Linked DNA regions of Ovis aries. The protein of the gene in region 1 purifies or fractionates together with the protein of each later gene. This does not show direct contact. Links are inferred from orthologs where the notes say so. Each region holds a gene or a part of one and is shown on either strand. Other genes may lie near its edges.

Evidence for each region.
Region 2: the proteins of USP25 (region 1) and KLHL9 purify together in Homo sapiens (affinity purification with mass spectrometry; 3 studies listed by BioGRID and IntAct, with this or other methods). This does not show direct contact. The link is inferred for Ovis aries from reciprocal best matches to the Homo sapiens genes USP25 and KLHL9.

Annotation. Positions count from the first base shown.
Region 1 is NC_056054.1:141,980,353-141,984,173, forward strand, and holds part of USP25 (ubiquitin carboxyl-terminal hydrolase 25), read right to left. Parts: intron 639-3,821; coding exon 443-638; intron 136-442; coding exon 1-135. UniProt on the Homo sapiens protein: Deubiquitinating enzyme that hydrolyzes ubiquitin moieties conjugated to substrates and thus, functions in various biological processes including inflammation and immune response.
Region 2 is NC_056055.1:89,892,164-89,896,664, reverse strand, and holds the start of KLHL9 (kelch-like protein 9), read left to right. Parts: upstream 1-1,389; 5' UTR 1,390-1,919; coding exon 1,920-3,773; 3' UTR 3,774-3,874; intron 3,875-4,501.

The DNA.
Region 1 (3,821 bases):
TGATTCGGGTAAATCGCTCACAGAGTTCATGTGTGGAGTACGGAGGTAACTTAGGCGGCTCATGGAAACCTTTAACCTCCGTAGAACAATCGAGCAGCTTTGGCAGAAAATCTGTCAGCTTCTCTTGGAGGTTTGCTGCAAATACAAACAATCAGATATAACTAAAAACTGACAGGGAGAAAAATTATCTTCAACAAGATTTATTAATTTAGAGTAGGCAGCCGATATTTTGTTTCAAATCATGCAAAATCATTGCCATTTAGGAGGAAGAAGTAAAGCATGAATGGCAACAGCAGTATGTACAGCTTAGTTTGTAAATAAGAAAAAAAATCATGTGAATGTAACAATGTCACAGAATATTAAAATGATAATAACTAACATCTAATTCTAACACCTTTTAATCCCAACAACTCAGGAATCTACTAGCATTGTTTCAACTTACATTCCATTTCTTGTCCAAGATAGGAACACCATCGATTTCTCATATCTTCTACAGCAAGTATGTCTTTCTCTTCCATTTCATCCACCAATAACAGGGGCAAAAACGGGACAATAAATTCATTCATGATAATCAGACCATTGTTTACTTCTCTATCCTCTCCAGATTCAAACAGTTCTGCAGCTTGCTCATTTAATTTCTTAACGCAATGAGAGAGAAAGAGAGAGAGGAAAAAAAAAAACAGGTTTGTTTCCTTTTTCAACTAAGTAAAAATATCTCACAATAATGAAGGCAACATAATAAGCATGTTTGCAAACAGTAATAGAACAAATAGAAATCAGAAAAAGCAACCTCAGCTTATTGAGTGAGAAAAGTTTCTTAGAAAAGGATTTGCATGTTACAATAGAAACAAGAGCAAAAAAAAAAAAGTCAGAAAAATACTGCTGTCATGTTTTTAAAGTTCATATTCAGTTTACTTTGATCATCACTATAGGAACTATTTTTAAATTAATTGTCCAGAGGTGAATTACCCCAATTCTAAAATATGATAAGCACTCAAAGTAATTTTAAAAGCAAAGAAATTCAGATTCCATACTAATTTTGAAAAACTCATCTTTTCCATAAATGTCAGCTGAACAGGGACTGTTATATTTCTTGATACAGAAATATAAAGGTAATCAATTAAATCATTCATTTCTTCAAAAAATTCTTACTCAGTACATGCCATGTGCCAGAAACTGTTTTAGTTGCAGGGGTACCCAAATGATTAATAAGAAAACTCTCATGGAGCTCACAATCTGTTACAATACAGGGATCAGTAACATTTTCTCTGTAAAGGACAAGACAGGGAATATTTTAGGCTCTGAGGGCTATATAGTCTTTGTTGCAATGACATTAATATTGCTGCACCAAGACAGTCGTATGTAAGTGAATGGGCAGGGCTATGTTTCGGTAAAACTTCATTTATAAAAACAAGTGGCAGGAGGGAGCAGAGGCCAAGCATGCTGACATCTAATTAAATAGAAGTAAGAAATCCATGAGATAAGAAATACAGACATGGGAGATAGAAAAAAGATACAGGTATAATAAGACTTAAAACATTTTTTTAAATTGGAGGATAACTGCTCTAACAATGTTGTGTGTATGAATCAGCTATAAGAATACACATAGCCCCCTCTGTCATGAGCCTCCCTCCCACCTGCTCATGAGACGTTTATGTCTGAAATCTCACGTTTACAGAGAGTATGATTTTTAAATAATCTTCATATTTTAAAAATAATTTAAATTATAAAAAGCATATTATTTCTTAGGTTATGACATTCTTGTGCAATTCATCTTGACTTTGTAGAAAGCTTATGCTAAAAGTCCAACTCAGCCACTAAGTAATTATCTAACAGTCAGCAAACAACTAATTTCCTAGCTTCAGCTTCTTCATATGAAAAATGGCATAGTATATAACCTTCCTCACATAGTGGCTAAGAGGATTAAATGAGATAAGCCTTGAAGTATATAGTGTAATTTTTACAATTTGCATTCAAAGACATTATTATTCTGAATTTGATGTTATGTTCACTAAATCAAAACAGATCCTAGAGACAACTTAAGCATAGTTATATCCAAAGCCAACCTATTCATCCTCTTCAGAGTCCCCAAAGCCAAAGACAAAACAGATCTAGTAAGTCATGAGGCTTTAATGCCTCTACTTCCTTCTTCACACTCATCTCATCGTTATCGACCATCTCCTTTACCATTTACATAACTTCTCTTTCATACTTTTCCCTGTCTAACTATCTTTTCTAGGGTTCTTTGTTTCAATCTTTACTCCATTCCAGTCCATATTCAAGTATACTACTGCCAGAATTACTTTCTAAAAACAAAACTGATTATGCCCAATTTATTCCAACTTTACAACCAACTCATGAGAATGATGCATAAGCTTCTACACAGTTTGACATCAACAAACACTGTTGGCTTCATCACGTCCACCTACACTTGTTTCTCATAACTAAGCCACAACAGACTTATCTTCATTTTCTGTCGTACACTCTCCATGTCTTTTCATACAATATTCCTTTGTCTAGAATTTCTTGCCCCTTCTCTACAAGGCACAAAATGCCTATTTATCCATTCGGATACAGATCAGTGTTTATCTTATTTCTTAAGCTTCTCTCCAACAATTCCAAACATACTATGTTGCGTATTTCTCATAATGCTTATTCTGAAATATAAAAATTACTTGTATACATCTCTCACCAGATTGAATTCTCTTAGGATATAATAATGGCTCTTATCTTTGCATCCCTCAGAATCTGATACTCAGTAAATTCTCAATATTAAAAAAAAAACCAAACAACTAAAAAAGGAAAAAAGAAAACACCTAAAAGGAACACTAAAATTCTCTTGAAGCTGCATTTAAATTCCTATGTGAAACAATAAATGTGGCTGGCTTACTAACATAAAATGATAAACACTTTTTACCATAATATAAACACTGTCTACCATTACGGTAGACAGTATTTTAGTTGTGTTTATGTTTAAAATAGGTTTATCAATACATTTCAATATTCCAACACTGCAAAGTTTTACATTAACAAGTGCTTTGATTCATTCAATGCATGGATTATGAACCTGAATATAATTCAGATCTTCCTTCTTGGGCATTGATTAAAAACCTTTTGAAACTGACCATATTAAGAATGGGATTCCCTGGTGGCTCAGAGGTAAAGAATCTGCCTGCCAGTGCAGGAAATGCAGGTTTGATCCCTGGGTCGGGAAGATACCCTGGAGAAGGAAATGGCAACACACTCAAGTATTCTTGCCTGGAGAATTCCATGGACAGAAGAGCCTGGCGGGCTACAGTCCATGGGGTCACAAGAGGGTCAGACATGACTTAATGACTAAAGAACAACAAATTAAGACTACCATTCTTGATGGATACAAACCATCAATAATTAAAGTCTTAAAATATACTCAAATGCAATAAAATCAGCTAAGAGAAAAATAACAAAATCACAAGCTTCTACTCTTGCCATTCAAAAATTCTGAAGACATAATGCAGACTACAATTAACATATACTCTGCAGTTCTACTGAAAGAAAACATTTCAGCAGTACACCTACTGAAAGTCTTTTTAAAGTACATGTAAACCAATTAACCTATATTGGCTCAAAAATGATATACTCTTGCATACCTTTATGTATTTTATAGAAAAAAAAAACATGACTTAGAGGTTCACAATCTATAGTCATGTTAATAGCTAAATGAAATCCAATCATAAAAAGTATAAAGATGGAATTCGTGGTTTTACACTTAAAGATAAGCAAAGTCAAGAAACATTAACAAAATATTCCAGCCAGAAAGTAAACTGGTGGGGAAAAAGAAC
Region 2 (4,501 bases), on another chromosome or scaffold:
GTGTTGACTTTAAAAAAGTACTTAAAAAGAGTTGTGAGTTAAGTTTTATTGGGGGCAAAATGAGACTATTGCCCTGGAGATAGCATTTCACATACTCTGGGAAGCTGCTCCAAAGAGGTAGAGGGGTGGTTGGTATATATGTGATTTTAGTGAAGAGAGGGGTATATGCAATCAAGCATGTTTTTTTGCAGAAGGTTTTGCTAGTCACGAGGGAGCAGATATCACCATGAAGGAATTTAGTGCTTTTCTAGATATGAGGAGATGCAAAAATTGTGCTCCTAAAATCAGCTCCTGAAAATATCTATCTGAAGACCTGTTCTGCCAGTTTTTCCAGAGCACAAGAGTGCCTCCTTTCTGATCTCCACTCTGAACACCCATCAGGTGGTGTTGAAGGTCAGCAGCTACAACAGCAGGAGAGATTTATTCAATCCTTGTAGAGGTAGATGGCAAGTGCCAATGAAAAGTGCCAATATGTAGTTTTTCAAAACATCTCTGGTGACAATATTTTGCAAAAAACTTTGTATGTCTTCAAGCAGCATTCTAACATTAGGATTTATCCCAAAATGGGAAGTTTTGTGCTCGGAGTCTGTAACATTGGAGAACAACGAAGTATATATTCAGGAACAAATGACAATTGTCTATCCATTTAAAAACTTGTGAGTGGAAAACAAAAGCACGAAAAATTTACTGATGGAATTCTGCTGCATGGCAAAAATTCAGCCTATATTATTTACATAGCATGGTCATAATTTGGTATTTTAAGAGAGGCAAATAACCTGTTTTAAATGATTAAAATCTGAAAATATGTACCCAGAGTTATACTTGAACTGTCTATTAAATTGTGTGGGATAGGTTTTTTGTTGGTTTTTTTTTTGGTTGAGGAGTTTGAGGGATCTTGGTCTGCAGCCAGGGTTTGAACCCTGGCCACAGCAGTGAAAGTGCCGAGTCCTAACCACTGACCTGCCAGAACATTCCCAGTGTGGGATAAGAATTAATAAAGTTTGTTTTTTATAGAGGAAAACTAAAAGCATCTTTCCCCTAAGGAAGCCTTCTGCCAGGTTTCAGCTTCCAGAAAAGCTGCATTTCATTGTTATCCAAAAGGCAGAAGCCAAGAAATGTAAATCTCGAAGTATTCATTTAGAGGAACAGCTCAGCTGCAGTGAAAGAGTTATATTAAAAATAATATCCGGGCACCCATTCCTATTTAATAATACCACATACAAAGTATCCCGAAGACACCCCGCTGGCCCACCCAGCACAGCTCTGCGCGACCCAAACCCCGCCTGCTCGAGGCACGGCCCACATCCTCCCATCCCCCACACAAGCCCGCCTACTGGCTAGGTCGGGCGGCTGCGCAGCCGCAGTAGCTGCCACGGCCGCTCCTAGCCCGGGGGATCCTGGGACGAGGCCTTTCCGGAAGGACCGGCTCGGCGTTGGGAGCTCGGCCCGTGTTCCAGGCCCAGGCTCGTGTTCCAGGTCCTTGCTCCAGGACGGGCCGGTAGCCGCGGCGACGCTCAAAGGGCGGCGGAGGGCGCGGCGGGCCGCTCTCTGAGGTGCCGGCCCTCGCCGTCGAGCGAGACGCCGGGCCGCAGGACGTGGCGGCACCTCCCCCTTAGCCCGGAGCAGAACTGCGGGAAGAGCAGCGCAGGCCGGACCAGGTGAACCGGGTCACTTAACTGCCTCAGGTGATGAATCATCTACATAGTAGTCAGATTTGAGGTCCACAGCCCTCTGTGGGCCAGCTGCAGAACAATTTTCAATGTGGGACTATTGTGTTCTGAGGCGTGCTGCAGTGACAGTTTGCCCTTGATAAGGAAAGCGAGCTCTCTTGCTCTTGGGACATCCTCGTTTCCTTTAAAGCTTTCCGGTCGTAACCTCTTTGTCCGGCATACATCTTTGTGCAAGAGGAAGGCGTTCACATGAAAGTGTCTCTTGGTAACGGTGAAATGGGCGTCTCCGCCCATTTACAGCCTTGCAAGGCAGGAACCACACGTTTTTTTACCAGCAATACTCACAGTTCGGTGGTACTGCAAGGTTTTGATCAACTTAGAATAGAAGGATTGCTTTGTGATGTGACTCTGGTGCCAGGTGATGGAGATGAAATCTTCCCTGTTCATAGAGCTATGATGGCGTCCGCTAGTGATTACTTCAAGGCTATGTTCACAGGTGGAATGAAAGAACAGGATTTAATGTGCATTAAGCTTCACGGAGTGAACAAAGTTGGTCTGAAGAAAATTATTGATTTTATTTATACTGCAAAGCTTTCTCTTAATATGGACAATCTTCAGGACACTCTTGAAGCTGCCAGCTTTTTGCAAATCTTGCCTGTTTTAGACTTCTGTAAAGTGTTTCTTATTTCAGGAGTCTCTTTAGATAACTGTGTTGAAGTTGGACGAATTGCTAACACCTACAATCTTATAGAAGTAGATAAATATGTCAATAATTTCATTCTGAAGAATTTTCCTGCCTTACTGAGTACTGGAGAGTTTCTAAAACTCCCTTTTGAACGGCTTGCCTTTGTGCTTTCTAGCAATAGCCTTAAGCACTGTACTGAACTTGAGCTCTTTAAGGCTGCCTGTCGCTGGCTAAGGTTGGAAGATCCTCGGATGGATTATGCTGCAAAATTAATGAAGAATATTCGATTTCCACTGATGACACCACAGGATCTCATCAATTATGTGCAGACAGTAGATTTTATGAGAACAGACAATACGTGTGTGAATTTGCTTTTGGAAGCTAGCAATTACCAAATGATGCCATATATGCAGCCAGTGATGCAGTCAGATAGAACCGCCATTCGATCTGATTCGACACACTTGGTTACATTAGGAGGAGTTTTGAGGCAGCAGCTGGTTGTCAGTAAAGAATTACGGATGTATGATGAGAGGGCTCAAGAGTGGAGATCTTTAGCCCCCATGGATGCTCCTCGTTACCAGCATGGCATTGCTGTCATTGGAAACTTTCTTTATGTAGTTGGTGGTCAAAGTAATTATGATACAAAAGGAAAAACTGCTGTTGATACAGTTTTCAGATTTGATCCTCGATATAATAAATGGATGCAGGTTGCATCATTAAATGAAAAGCGCACATTTTTCCACTTGAGCGCCCTCAAAGGACATTTGTATGCTGTTGGTGGGCGAAGTGCAGCTGGTGAGCTGGCCACTGTAGAATGTTACAATCCAAGAATGAATGAGTGGAGCTATGTTGCGAAAATGAGTGAACCCCACTATGGCCATGCTGGAACAGTGTATGGAGGCTTAATGTATATTTCAGGAGGAATTACTCATGACACTTTCCAAAATGAGCTCATGTGTTTTGACCCTGATACAGACAAATGGACACAGAAGGCTCCAATGACAACAGTCAGAGGTCTGCATTGCATGTGTACAGTTGGAGACAAGCTCTATGTCATTGGTGGCAATCACTTCAGAGGAACAAGTGATTATGATGATGTTCTAAGCTGTGAATACTATTCGCCAACTCTTGACCAGTGGACACCAATTGCTGCCATGTTAAGAGGTCAAAGTGATGTTGGAGTTGCTGTCTTTGAAAATAAAATCTATGTCGTAGGTGGATATTCTTGGAATAATCGTTGTATGGTAGAAATTGTCCAGAAATATGACCCAGAAAAGGATGAGTGGCATAAAGTTTTTGACCTTCCAGAGTCACTTGGTGGCATTCGAGCTTGTACTCTCACAGTTTTTCCACCTGAAGAAAATCCTGGGTCACCTTCCAGAGAATCACCTCTTTCAGCACCTTCAGATCATTCTTAGGACCAAGGTGTAAAACCTTTGCAGTGCATCAAGGATGATCCCGTAATTCCCCTTCAGTTGTATCTTCTTACAATGATTGGTACAGTTATTAGATTAAAAAGGTAATTGATGTTATTTGTATTGTTTGGCTTAGTATGTTTATCAAATGGTTAACAACTGTATTCTGCAAATGTATGTGTTCAACATAGCTATTTTAACAAATGTAAAAAGCAGAAAAATTGTTAGATATCTTTTTGTGGTGTTGTGTAAGGCAGAGTGTAGGTGATTGAAGTAAATGTATAATTATGTTCATTATGCTTCAAAGTTGAAAGTTTTCATCTTTGACTACAAGACATCAAAGGGAGGATGCCTACTATAACCTAAAATAATAAACAAAAAAGGTCGTCAAGCCTTATTAGCTGCTTCCCTTTTTTCATGGTTTGTGACATAGCTGCTGACTCACCAAATTGTGTGGGTACATTCAGAATATGTGACAATTCTTCAGCAGACTGGAGGAATATTAACTCAAAAACTAGTATAACCCCAAGTCAGCGTTTCATATCTCTTTCTGGGGAGAGGAAGAGAGAAAATACATTACCACACACATACATATGTATATACATGCATATACATATATAATTTTTAAATTGATTGGCACTTCAGCTATAGTAAATTGTAAATTTAAACTCTTCTACATAGCAGCTATTTCTATTCAAATGGGAATTCACTACTAGAGAATAAATGTCTAT